2 linked regions of the Oryctolagus cuniculus genome follow. The protein of the gene in region 1 interacts with the protein of each later gene in a pairwise test. Links are inferred from orthologs where the notes say so. Each region holds a gene or a part of one and is shown on either strand. Other genes may lie near its edges.

The links. The genes of interacting proteins can lie anywhere in the genome.
Region 2: the proteins of SPG21 (region 1) and DTX3L interact in binary tests that used the Homo sapiens proteins (3 or more experiments, as listed by UniProt). The two-hybrid records come from large-scale screens. The link is inferred for Oryctolagus cuniculus from reciprocal best matches to the Homo sapiens genes SPG21 and DTX3L.

The regions. Positions count from the first base shown.
Region 1 is NC_091443.1:87,992,669-87,999,239, reverse strand, and holds part of SPG21 (maspardin), read left to right. Parts: intron 1-93; coding exon 94-239; intron 240-4,142; coding exon 4,143-4,251; intron 4,252-5,605; coding exon 5,606-5,713; intron 5,714-6,571. UniProt on the Homo sapiens protein: May play a role as a negative regulatory factor in CD4-dependent T-cell activation.
Region 2 is NC_091435.1:78,771,994-78,778,525, forward strand, and holds the end of DTX3L (E3 ubiquitin-protein ligase DTX3L), read left to right. Parts: coding exon 1-1,599; intron 1,600-2,705; coding exon 2,706-2,923; intron 2,924-4,070; coding exon 4,071-4,161; downstream 4,162-6,532.

The DNA of each region.
Region 1 (6,571 bases):
GTGGGTTGTAATAATTGAAGCAACTCTTTTTAAGTACTCATGTTCAGGATTGATTGGTATTTTAGGATCTGCCTTATGTTTGTTTATAATTAGGTTCATCTTTTTGGGGCTTCTTTGGGAGGCTTTTTGGCCCAGAAATTTGCTGAATATACTCACAAGTCTCCCAGAGTCCATTCCCTCATCCTCTGCAATGCCTTCAGTGACACGTCTATCTTTAACCAGACTTGGACCGCAAACAGGTGAGAACGTAAACATCAATCCAGAAATGCTTGCTGCTTTTGTTCAGTGGAATTTTGAAAATGCTGACTTTGGGGGTTTTTAGTGCAATAGAGAGGGAAGACTCGTATCACCTTCTGTCTTCTGAAACTCTCCTGGCCTTTAAAATGAGAAACACTCGCCTTTGAGGAAAGAAAAGAGTTGTGTGAGTTTTAATTTCAACTATCTCCGTTACTCTGAATCATCATCTAATACTTTTTTTTTGACAGGCAGAGTGGACAGTGAGAGAGAGAGAGAGACAGAAAGAAAGGTCTTCCTTTGCCGTTGGTTCACCCTCCAATGGCCACCGCGGCCAGCGCACCGCGCTGATCCGATGGCAGGAGCCAGGTACTTATCCTGGTCTCCCATGGGGTGCAGGGCCCAAGGACTTGGGCCATCCTCCACTGCACTCCCTGGCCACAGCAGAGAGCTGGCCTGGAAGAGGGGCAACCGGGACAGAATCCAGCGCCCTGACTGGGACTAGAACCCAGTGTGCCGGCGCCGCAAGGCGGAAGACTAGCCTAGTGAACTGCGGCGCCGGCCACATTTTTTTTGAAGATTTTATTTATTTATTTGAAAGTCAGAGTTACACAGAGAGAGGAGAGGCAGAGAGAGAGGTCTTCCATCCATTGGTTCACTCCCCAGTTGGCCGCAATGGCCTGAGCTATGCCCATCCTAAGCCAGGAGCTAGGAGCCTCCTCCAGGTCTCCCATGCAGGTGCAGGGGCCCAAGGACTTGGGCCATCCTCTACTGCTTTCCCAGGCCACAGCAGAGAGCTGGATCGGAAGTGGAGCAGCCAGGTTTTGAACCGGCACCCATATGGGATGCTGGCATCTCAGGCCAGGGTATTAACCCGCTGTACTACAGCGTTGGCCCGTCTAATACACACTTACATGCTTTTTCTGTTCTCCTCAGTGCTCCTGTGTAACTGAATGGCGGTCTGCTTGTCCCACTTACTGTTTGTTTGTTTTAAAGAATTATTTTATTTATTTGAAAGACAGAGTTACAGAGAGAGGTAGAGCCAGAGAGAGAGAATGAGAAGTCTTCCATTCTGCTGGTTCACTCCCCAGATGAATTCAATGACCCAAGCTGAGCCAATTTGAAGCTAAGAACCAGGAGCCTCCGCTGGGTCTCCAACACAGGTGCAGGAGCTCAACGACCTGGGCCATCTTCCACTGCCTTCCCAGGCCATAGCAGAGAGCCGGATCGGAAGAGAAGTAGCCAGGACTTGAACTGGCACCCATAGACGATGCCGGCACTGCAGGCTGGGGCACCACTGCACCACAGTGCTGGCCCCCTCACTTAGTGTTTTGTGTTAAACTTTTGAGCATCACCTGACACAATTTTCCTGGGCACTTGGCTTTCCCTGTGTCTCATGTTCCACTGTAAATCGGGTACACATTAGTCTTCTCCCTTTGTTTCCTGGGTTCCTTCTTTGAGATGTGTTCCCATTCTGAAGACGGGGGCACTTAGTCCCTCAGTGGCTGCACTTGGTGTCACTCTGTTCCTCAGAAGGGCGGGCGTGCAGCAGCAGGGCGCCTGTCTCCTGGATAGGTGTCCAGTGGGTCACTGAAGCTGGCTTTGTGTGTGCGTCTGTCACTGCCAGCAGGCTCAGCCCTGCCCTAAAAAAGCCCAGCGATAAATGCATCTCTGTGATCAGGTTCGTTTTCAAATACTGTTACAAGTAGACATTGTTTTCACGGTATTCACAGTTTTAAAATTTTTTTATTTTGTAATTTTTTAAGGTGAACACATTCCATGTATTTCATATAGACAGATTTAGGAGCCTGGTGATACTTCCCACTCTACCCTCTCTCCTCACATTTTTATAGCTTTGCAGTCTGATATTTTTGTTTTATTTTATTATTTAAAAAATTCATTTAAGAAGCAGACAGACAAAGACAAGACGAATAGAGCTGCCGGCTGCTGATTCACTCCCCAGGTGCCCACAACAGCCAGGGCTGGAGCCAGGAGCTGGGAACTCGTGCCAGCTCTCCCACACGGGTGGCAGGGAGTCAACTATTTGAGCCGTCCCAGCCACCTGCCAGGGTCTGCACTGCTGGGGAACTGGAATCAGGAGGCAGAGCTGGGAGTCCAGCCCAGGCGCTCGGGTGTGGGCCGTGTCATTTCAAGCAGCATCTTGATCACTAAGCGAATGGCGCGCTACCCTGGTGTCTCAGAACTTTTCCTGCTGTGCTCTCAGGAGTTGATTTTCTCAGTTCTCCTGCAGCTTATATACGTTAGCTGCGTGCAGATACTTCGCTTCCAGATGATAAAATCAAGCCCACTGGTTATTTTGATGGTGTTTATTTTTCCAATAACAGAAGAACAGAGTACCATGACTGTCCTCACTTCATTGCTGCTTTTGCATATCAGCTGCTTTTTATTAAACATGTGAGCACTTAGTAAGAGCTACACACTGAGATACAGGGGTGAGCAGAGCCAGCAGGGTCGTCCTTCTCAGGGTGTACATAGCCATCGTTGCCATTAAAAGATAAACTGGGGTAGAGTGGGTAAAGCTGCCGCCTGCGATGCTGGAATCCCATGTGAGTGCCGGTTTGAGTCCCAGCTGCTCCACTTCTGATCCAGCTCCCTACTAATGTGCCTGGGAAAGCAGTGGAAGATGGCCCACATGCTCCATGCTCCCTGCACCTGCATGGGAGACCCAGAAGCTCCTGACTCCTGACTTCTGACCAGTTCAGCTCTGCCTGTTGCAGCCGCCTGCGGAGTGAACCAGCAGATGGAAGACTTCTCTGTCTCTCTCTCTCTTAACTACCTTTCAAAAAAAAAAAAAAAAAAAAAAAAAAAAGATAAACCAGTAGAGGTGGGAGAAAACTTGGAGAGTTGACTGGAAGATGGTTCAGTGATCCTTGGGAGGGCAGCTCAGCTTCCAGCAAGGCCATTCTAATGAGAGTAAGCATCAAGATGTCTGCACCACGATACATCAGTGTAGTTAGGGAAATTAGCGTTTATCCTCCATAATGACTCGTTTTGAAATTAATAGAATAAGTATCAGTTAAAGATCATGTACAGAAATCCATAGAGATCAAATTGCCTTGAATTAGGCTCATTGAATATAATGGTAGCAAATTTTGGGAGGCGGAGTAACTTTCATTTGGTATTTTGAAATGATTTGAAGTATCAATCAAAAGGTGACATCAACCAGAAAGCAAGAATATTTCTCTTAATACTACTTTTTCCAAAGGAAGTGGTTTAACACAGTTAGAAAAAAAATCTTGGAGTCACAAGACTATCTCGGTAAAGGCCTCTGGAGATATTGCTAATAATTATTCTAAATTATCAAGTAAAATTTCATTAAAATGTAACTCTTTTGGCATCTTGGGAAAGTATATATAAAACATAGATGCTGGGGCTGGTGCTGTGGCATAGCAGGTAAAGCCGCTGCCTGCAGTGCCGGCATCCCATGTGGGTGCCAGTTCAAGTCCCAGCTGCTCCACTTCCAATCCAGCTCCCTGCTATGGCCTGGGAAAGCAGTGGAAGATGGCCCAAGTCCTTGGGCCCCTGCACCAACGTGGGAGACCTGGAGGAAGCTCCTGACTGCTGGCTTAGATTGGCACAACTCCAGCTGTTGTGGCCCTCTGGGGAGTGAACCAGTGGATGGAAGATACTCTCTCTGTCTCTGTCCCTGTCTCTCTCTGCTTCTCCTTCTCTCTTTGTGTAACTCTGACTTTCAAATAAAATAAGTAAATCTTAAAAAAAAAAACAAAAAACAAAAAAAAAAACAAACTAGAAGCTGAGCTCTTTGCAGGAAGGGACTAGGTCTTCTCATCTCTCTGGATTCCCAGCAGCTAGCTATTACAAATGTTGAAGATTTGTCCTCTATGTGTAGTCTTAGAAGTTTAAATGAAAAGGTCTTTATTTTTCAGCTTTTGGCTGATGCCAGCATTTATGCTCAAAAAAATAGTTCTTGGAAACTTTTCTTCTGGCCCAGTGGACCCTATGATGGCCAACGCCATTGACTTCATGGTGGACAGGGTAAGTAAGGATCACAGCTCCCGTACCAGGAAGCTTCATGTCCACTTGGTTCCTGAAGATCTGTTACCTCACCGAGCGTGTGTCAGAGGTAACTACTCCGCAGTCTTCCGTGTTAAGTTTAATTCGTCTGAACGACAACTGCTGGTGAGGGACTGGCTGCACTGGTGCTTCCTGGTTGCTGCTCATCAGCATTCCTTAGGGAGCTGTCAGCTATACAGATTCCAGGGGCAGGCATTTGGCCTAGCGGTTAAGATGCCAGCATCCCACATCCCACATCCCACATGGAGTGTGTGAGTTCAATACCTGCTCCAGTCTGACTCCTGCTTCCTGCTAACGCTCACCCTGGGAGGCAGTGGTGATGGCTCAAGTGACTGGGTTCCTGCTACTACACAAGAGACCTGGGTTGTGGTTGTGGCTTGGCTCCCAGCTTGTCCTGGCGCAGCCCTGACTGTTGCAGGCATTGGGTAGTGAACGAGCAGATGGGGGAGCCCTCACTCGCTCTCGCTCGCTCACTCTCTCTGCCTTTATGCCTCTCAAATAAATAAATTAAAAAAATACGTATTCTGGGGTGGTGCTGTGGTACAGCAGAGTAAGCCACTTTTTGGGACACTTGCGTCCCATGTCAGAGTGCCTGGTTCAAGCCCTGGCTCCTCCATGCTTCTGATGTAGCTTCTTGCTAGTGTACCTGGGAGGCAACAGGTGATGGCTCAAGTGACTGGGCCCCTCCTGCCCACGTGGGAGACCCAGTTGGAGTTCCAAGCTCCTGGCTTCAGCGTGGTCCAGCCCCCACTGTTGTAGGCATTCGGGGAGTAAACCAGAAGATGGAAGATCCCCCACCCGGTCACTCTTCCTTTCAAGTAGAAGAAAAGAAATACTAAAAACAAATACAGAGTCCAAGGACTCACACCAGACACACATCTGGAATCCCTGGGCGTGGGATCTGAATCTGTGTACTTCACCTCCCTCTCCCACCTCCCAGATCAATTTGATGAACCAGCTCCGTAGGCTTGCATTTGGGAACCACTGGGCAAGATGATTTCTGGGGTTCTTACTGCTTTTCCACCACTGTTGGGCTCCAGGAGTTGGCTTGCCGTCCCCGGGCACCTGGTTGAGGCAGGCAGCTTAGGTTGAGGGCTCTAGTTGGCCAGTTTGAGTTAGATGAACGTTGTCCAGGCTCCCAGAATAGGAAAAGGCTGCTGCCTGGGGGGCCTTGTTCATGGTCTCTCAGACACTGTGTCTCCTCGTTGGTGACTTTTCTGGCCCCACCATACATGATACCTGTGAAGTCTGTGGGTTTAATGTGAATGTGAAAAGTGAAATAATTTCCAAACATTACCTGTGCTTCTTCTTGCAGCTGGAAAGTTTGGGTCAGAGTGAACTGGCTTCCAGGCTTACCCTGAATTGTCAGAATTCTTACGTGGAACCTCATAAAATTCGGGACATCCCCGTGACCATCATGGATGTAAGCTTCCTTACAGCTATTCTATGGCTTCCAGTGTGCATCTTCACATGCTGTGTGGGCTGTTGATCTTCACTCCCCAGCCTTCTCGATTTCAAAATAATCCGTAATAGCTTGTCCTGGATTTTTCCTGGCAGGAATAACACCACTGAAATCAAAATAGATGTAAATGAACAATGATAGGTAGTCTTGATCTGTTTGGGTGTCTTTGCTTTCCCATCAACAGAATCATGATGTACAAAAAGAGAGTGCCTCACACGGACTAAGACTTAAAGGGTCCATGAAGTCTCATTAGCACAAAAGTGTCCTTTTTTGTTTTGGTAAAATATACATACGAAAGTTTTTGAGGACACAGTTCAGTGGCATTAGGTACATTCACTGTGTTGTACAGCCGTCACCATCGTCCATTTCCAAAACTTTCTCCCCCTCCCAAATAGAAACTCCGTGCCCAGGAAAGATGACTCCCTGTTCCTCTCCTCCCCCCGCCAGTGGCAGCCAGCGGTCTGCTTTGCATCCCTGTGAATGTGCGGAGTCTAGGTGCCTCGTATAAGTAACTTCACACATTACTTATCCTCTGGTGAGAGCATGTCTCAGTATGTCATTCCTTTTTAAGACTGAATAATGGGCCACTTTTTTATATCCTCCATATTTTGCTTATCCATTCATCTGTCATGGACATTTGGTTTGTTCCAACTTTTGGCTGTTGTTAATAATGCTTCCATATAATTTGATATTACAAGCGTCTATTCGAGTCCCTGCTGGTAATTCTTCCAGGCATACACCTGTGATATACTGTAAGCCTGGTTTAGATCACAGGGTAGTTTTTGTTGGACTGTTTGAGGAACTGCTATCCTGTCTTCC
Region 2 (6,532 bases), on another chromosome or scaffold:
GAGAAGGTGTGTGGTGACTTCCGAACGATGGAAACAATACATGAGTTCCTGAGTGAGCAGCTCCTGCAGAGCGAGCCATCTCCTCTGACAGCAGAGAGGAAGCCACTTGATAAGCAGCACCGGGACAGCCGGGATAGCTGGGACAGCCGGGATAGCCGGGATAGCCGGGACAGCCGCGTGGCTCCTTCCGAACCTAACAAGGGGTCCGAAGGAGAGAGCAGCCTCGCTGAAGGCCCCTTGTCTTTGCCTGAAGCAAGTCTAGCCCCTTACATCACATCTACAAAGAGGAAGCCACTTGCTCAGCAGGACCGGGGCAGCCGCATGGCTCCTTCCAAAGCAAACACTGGGTCGGAAGAAAGAAGCAACTGTTTTGAAGTCCCTGAGCCTTTGTTTGAATATTTCAAATACGTCTGTCCTCATAAAACAGACTCCATAAAGCGAAGATTTGGTGTCGATCTCAGATTTCATACGAGTTCCCCCGGGGTGGTCTATTTAGACTTCGTTTCAAGTCCATCAGGCGACCTAGAAGGAGGTCGTGAGTCTTTTGTAAGTGAATTCCAGAAGGTCACAGAATCTCTGAAGCAAGATTGTGTCTCTTTAGCCGACAGTGCACAGGCAAATAAAATGAAACAGGAATTGAATCATCATTTCACAAAACTCCTTGTAAAGGAGAACGGAAGAAAATTAACTCTCCTCGGGACCCAAGATGACATTTCAGCTGCCAAACAGAAAATCTCTGAGAGCCTTGTCAAGGCACCTGTGAAAATCCTGGCTCCCAGTCGCATGGTAGATGGGATTGAGGTTGACACTGCTTGCTATAAGCTTTTAGAGACTCAATTACTCCAGGACATCGCAGAGATAGAGAAAAAGTACAACGCTGACTGTAAGAGTTTGCGGAGAAGTCAGAACACCTGCATTCTCTTTGAGCCCAAGGAGAGGGAGCTAGATCTATCTGAGCATGCGTATGCCAGTTTCATCGATGCCTTCCAGCACGCCTCGTGTCAGCTGACAAAAGAAGTTCTGTCACTGAAACATCTGGGCAAGGAGAGAAAGCACTTCCGGAGCACTAAGTTTACCGATGACTTTGAGAGAAATCATCCAGAGCTACACTTGGCGTTCACTTCAAAGTCAATGACTTTGACTGGTTTGCCAGTTCACCTTGCAAAGGCAAAGCAGTATGTCCTGCAGAAAAGTGGGCTGTCTCCATCGGCTGGAGAGAAATCGAATGAGGATCATGAAGCACCCATGGAAATCGATAGTAATGGCTCAGAACCAGCGTCACCTCTATCAAAGGACTCTGTGGGTCCTGGGGCCTCGGGACTGGACGAGAAGGAAAAGGAGATCTGTATCATCTGCATGGATGCCATTACAGACAAACGCGTGCTGCCCCAGTGCAAGCATGAGTTCTGCAGTCCGTGTATCAGCAAAGCCCTGTCCTATAGACCGGCCTGTCCTGTGTGTCAGGTCTCCTATGGTATGCAGAAAGGGAATCAGCCAGAAGGAACCATGGTCCACAGTGTATCAAGATACTCACTTCCAGGTTATACTTCCTGTGGCTCCATTGTGATCACCTACACAATGAAAGGAGGCATACAGACAGTAAGTGTCGCTAAGGGCCAGGGTTTCTCTCTGCTCTGCCAGGATTGCCAGAGCAAAAGATGTTGCCCTCCTGCCTGTTTGACAGTGGACTTCCCAAGGAGTTAGTTATTCCATGGTCAAATGCAAGAGACTAAACTAGTGATAAAGGTCACAGTGTTTGCCTGTAACTCAGATATCATTTGTGTCTATTTTGTTTTCTATTTTTATTTATATATTATTTATTTGGAAAGCAGAGCAACACACAGAGAGATCTTCCATCCTCTGGTTATTCCCAGATGCCTTCAATAGCCAGGGATGGGCCAGACTGAGGCCGGGAGGCCAAAACTCAATCCAGGTTTCCCTCTTGGGTGGCAGGGATCCCACCCCTTGAGCCATCACTTGCTTCCTCGCAAGATTAACAGGAAGCCACAGTTGGGAGCAGAATCAGAACTCAAACCGAGGCACTCCTACATGGGATGCAGGCCCTAAGTAGCATTTTAACCACTGCACCGAAACCCTGCCCTGGTATCTATTTCTTTTCTTCACTCCCTCCCTTCCTTCCTTCCTTTTTTGAAATATTTATTTATTTGAAAGGCAGAGTTATAGAGAGGCAGAGAGAGAGAGAGAGAGAGAGAGAGTCTTCCATCTGCTGGTTTACTCCCCAGATGGCTGCAATGGCCAGAGCTGCACCAATTTGAAGCCAGGAGCCAGGAGCTTCTTCTGGGTCTCCTAAGTGGGTGCATGGGCCCAAGCACTTGGGCCATTGCAGAGAGCTGGATCAAAAGTGGAGCAGCCAGGACACAAACTGGTGCCCATATGGGATGTTGGCATTGCAGGTGGCGGCTTTACCCACACCAGCCCCTGGTGTCTATTTCTTAAGGCAGAGAAAGGGTGAATAGAGATTATATGTTAGGATGAAGGTGGGGACAGAGGAGACAGGAGGATGGATAATGTTCCCAGCATGAATTTGAAGAAAGAGAAAAAGTGTAAACCATGAGAATATGACCCAAACAATACCTTTCTTTCTTTCTTTTGATTTGCTTTCCCTACAAGTTAATACATCCGTACATGTAGTGGAATTTTGAAAGCGGACTGTTCTCATGTGACGTTTTCTTGTCTTCACATAGAAAGAGCACCCAAACCCAGGAAGGAGTTATCCTGGAACACAGCGAACCGCGTACCTGCCTGATAATAGGGAGGGAAGAGAGGTGCTGGAGCTGCTCCGGATGGCCTTTGATCAGAAGCTGATTTTCACAGTGGGGGAATCGCGAGCCTTGGGCACCCCAGATGTCATTACATGGAACGACATCCACCACAAAACATCCCGTCATGGAGGACCAGAAAAGTGAGAGCCTTTCAGTAGTATAATGGTTGCTAAACAAGAGTTTAGAGATTGTGCGATCCAGAAATTCGGGGCTGTGGCTGCAAGGAGACTTTATAGTGGTCGTGTTGGGGACTGTAGAATATTTTGTGAGATGCTAATCTGGGAGGCTAGCCTCAAAGACAGGAAGGTTGGTGTCCAAAGCCCTCTACCCTGCCAGCCACAAAGCAGTCTGCAGTTCTTAAATTTTGCGTCAAGGGGCGGAAGGCTTCAGAACCCAAGGTGAATAGTGTCTAAGATGATGTGATTTGGGGCTTCTTGTCGATTTGAAGGCTAAATCCTTCAAATGCTATTTGTTTTGCTTTCTTTTAAGGTCACTTTCTCCCTCCTCCTTGTCCCCCATTAATCCACAGAGAAGCTGAACCCTCTTGGCCAATGGCATTAATAGAAAAAGTCTTGGTTGTAACTCATATATCTCAGATCCTAGCATTAAAAAATACATTCTAAGGCCTTTTCAAATTCCTACATTTGTAAATATTATTAGCAAATGATTATGGACACCCCCTTCCCCATGCTCACAATAAACTGAAAATAAAAAAGAGGCTGGTTAAAAGGCAGATGCTGGTCAGGTGCCTGGACTCAGCCAAGAGCTGGATGTCCCACATCTGCACACACAAGAGTGGTTGTAAGTCAGTCAACTGCCTTCAAGATTGCCTGTGAATGTTGGCAGTCCTGAGTATTAAGTCCTCAGATGCCAAAGGCCTACTGTACAGATTTTTTTTTTTTTTTGACAGGCAGAGTGGACAGTGAGAGAGAGAGACAGAGAGAAAGGTCTTCCTTTGCCGTTGGTTCACCCTCCAATGGCCGCCGCTGCAGCCGGCGCACCACGCTGATCCGATGGCAGGAGCCAGGATCCAGGTGCTTTTCCTGGTCTCCCATGGGGTGCAGGGCCCAAGCACCTGGGCCATCCTCCACTGCACTCCCTGGCCATAGCAGAGAGCTGGCCTGGAAGAGGGGCAACCGGGACAGAATCCGGCGCCCTGACCGGGACTAGAACCCGGTGTGCCGGCGCCGCAAGGTGGAGGATTAGCCTATTGAGCCACGGCGCCGGCCCTGTACAGATTCTTAAGAACCATTTGTGATGAAACTAAAGGGATTTTTCCTTCTGCAGCTATGGCTACCCTGATCCTGATTATTTGAAACGTGTCAAAGAGGAGCTGAAGGCAAAAGGAATCACGAAACCCGCGGGAAGGAGATCTTAGAGCCACACTCAAAAGGTGCACTTTGGGAGACTTGGTTAGCGCTGCTCCAACACCGGCCGTAGAAACACGTTCTAGAAGGTTTCGTCTCCAGAAGGGATTTCTCTAAGAAAAAAGATGCTGCTACTCTGTCATTTCTGGAGCGTTGTTCTTTTGTGGAAGACGAAAGTCCTGAGGATCTGTGTGATTTGGCTGCGGCAGTGTGTGTCTCCTTTTCCTGTCATCGCGGCGTCCGGGTGCCCTGAGGTCACGTGTGTCCTGCATTGGGGCTCCTGACCATCCACTGGGACTGTTCTCATTGCCATCGCTTGGGTGCTCTTTCAGTGTTTTGTTTCTTTTCCTCTTAATCTCTACTGCTGAAAGTGAAATCCTAGTGCAATTGGAAAAACAAAAGGCTCTGATGGTGGAAAGTTAGAGACCCATATTCTCCCCCTCCTCCATCACAAGGAAAGTGGCCAGAAGCAGAGCCTGGGGGAGTTTGGTAATAAATGGAATAAGATTATCTTGAACAACAGAGCTTGGTATACATTGGGTGCCTAATACATTTTCTTGCCTGATTCAAGTTGCTGGTAACCCAGCAGGGAGATATGTGGTCCCTAAGTCTTTGGCAGAAGCAGGAATAAAGAAACCACTTCTGAGTTCCTACCCCTGACTCAGAAATGAGTTTTTCACTCTGCAATATTTTGATGTCTAAACTGTAACCGGGCCCCTAACTTGGGCCTTGCTTCCTCGGTCCTTTTAACCTGCTCTGTTGGGCACATTTGCCCTGCCATAGTTTCTGGACATTTTTCTTTTCTTGTGGGCATTATTGGACTTTGGAGTATAGGCTGCTTCCAGTTTCAACAAATAAATATTTTAGATGCTAATCATGTATCATTTTATAGTAACTTTAATCCCCACTACAGTAGTTTCATCCCCTTATTAAATCCTTCCAATTCATGTTTTGTCCCTTAGAAGCTTTCAAATATTCTCTCTGAACAAAGGAAATGCCAAGAGTTGAGCCTACTATCGGGAATGTATGACATGTCAGATTTTACTTTTAAATGGTTTTCCACTTCAGAAGAAAATTATAATAGCAAAGGTTATCTTTGTCCCAATCTCTCTCCAAAAATGATGAACAAGATATCTTGTTCTTTTTCTAAACACACACACACACACACACACTTTTTGGTCAGGTAATAAGTACAAATGGAACACTCACTTTGTTTTCATTATAAGAGCTTCACATCTCTGTGGTTGATATAATTAGTGTCCCTTCTGTATGACAAAATAACTGGTGTACAAGAGGACAAGTTAGTAGGTGGAGGTGCTGGGATCTGAACTTGGTATTCTGGCTCTAGCACTTCTGCACGCCAGGACGTGCTGCCTCCTGCAGGGAGCCGCCTAAGCAGCTCCCACTGCTCTGGCCTTCTCTCAGAAAGGGATCTTCCAGTCTTCAAAGCAAATATCCTGCAACAATGTCCTATTAGAAGAACTTAAAAACCCAGACTCTTTTCCATCATCCAGGAAATTGAGGAAGTTTAATCCAAAGGATGTCTTTTATTTTATTTTATTTTTTAAAGAATCCAATTGTATGTTGAGTTTTCTGATGTTTCATTCAATTCTTTACCATTAGGATAACCGACTGCTTTCTGTCTAGTGATCTATCTGCATGATAAAGTCTGGTTCCCACTAAGTTGTGAATCTTCCACTGCCGCTCGTATACAGGCTTCAGGGTGTGCATTTGGAAGACAGTACTTGCTCTTTGAAGGGTGTTATCACCTGGATCTGATTTAAATAAAGTTCCATCCACATTTGGAGCTGAGTGTGTACTTTCCCTCACTCCGTTTTTCCGTTTCAGGTTGAGATTCTGGGTGTTTCCTGTAACACATTCAGCATACAATATTATGCAATGCGTGGCTGTCTTCCGTTGGTTTTGTGCATAGCTGTTTACTAAACATTATCACAGTAGAACTTTGCTGTTGACTTCACTGCTGACATTTCCCATTGTGAAAGAATTCTCAACATTTTCTTTCTTTTTTATATTTTTAGTTATTTTTCATTTTGTTTGAAAGCCAGAGACACAGCAACACACAGAGGGTCAAAAAGATCTTCCGTCTGCTGGTTCACCTCAAATGCCCACAACAGCCAGGCTGAAGTCAGGATCCTAGAACTCAATCCAAGCCTCCCATATGGGTGGCAGAGACCCAAGTACTTGAGCCATCATCTGTTGCCTCCCAGGGTGCACATTAATAGAAATGCTGGATCCAAAGTGGAGTCCACAAGATTCAAGCCAGGCATCTTGAGATGCAGCAACCTGGGTCTCATGTGATGACGTATTTCACTGCACCAAACACCTGCTCCAATGTTTTTCCTTTTTAACACACAGATCACT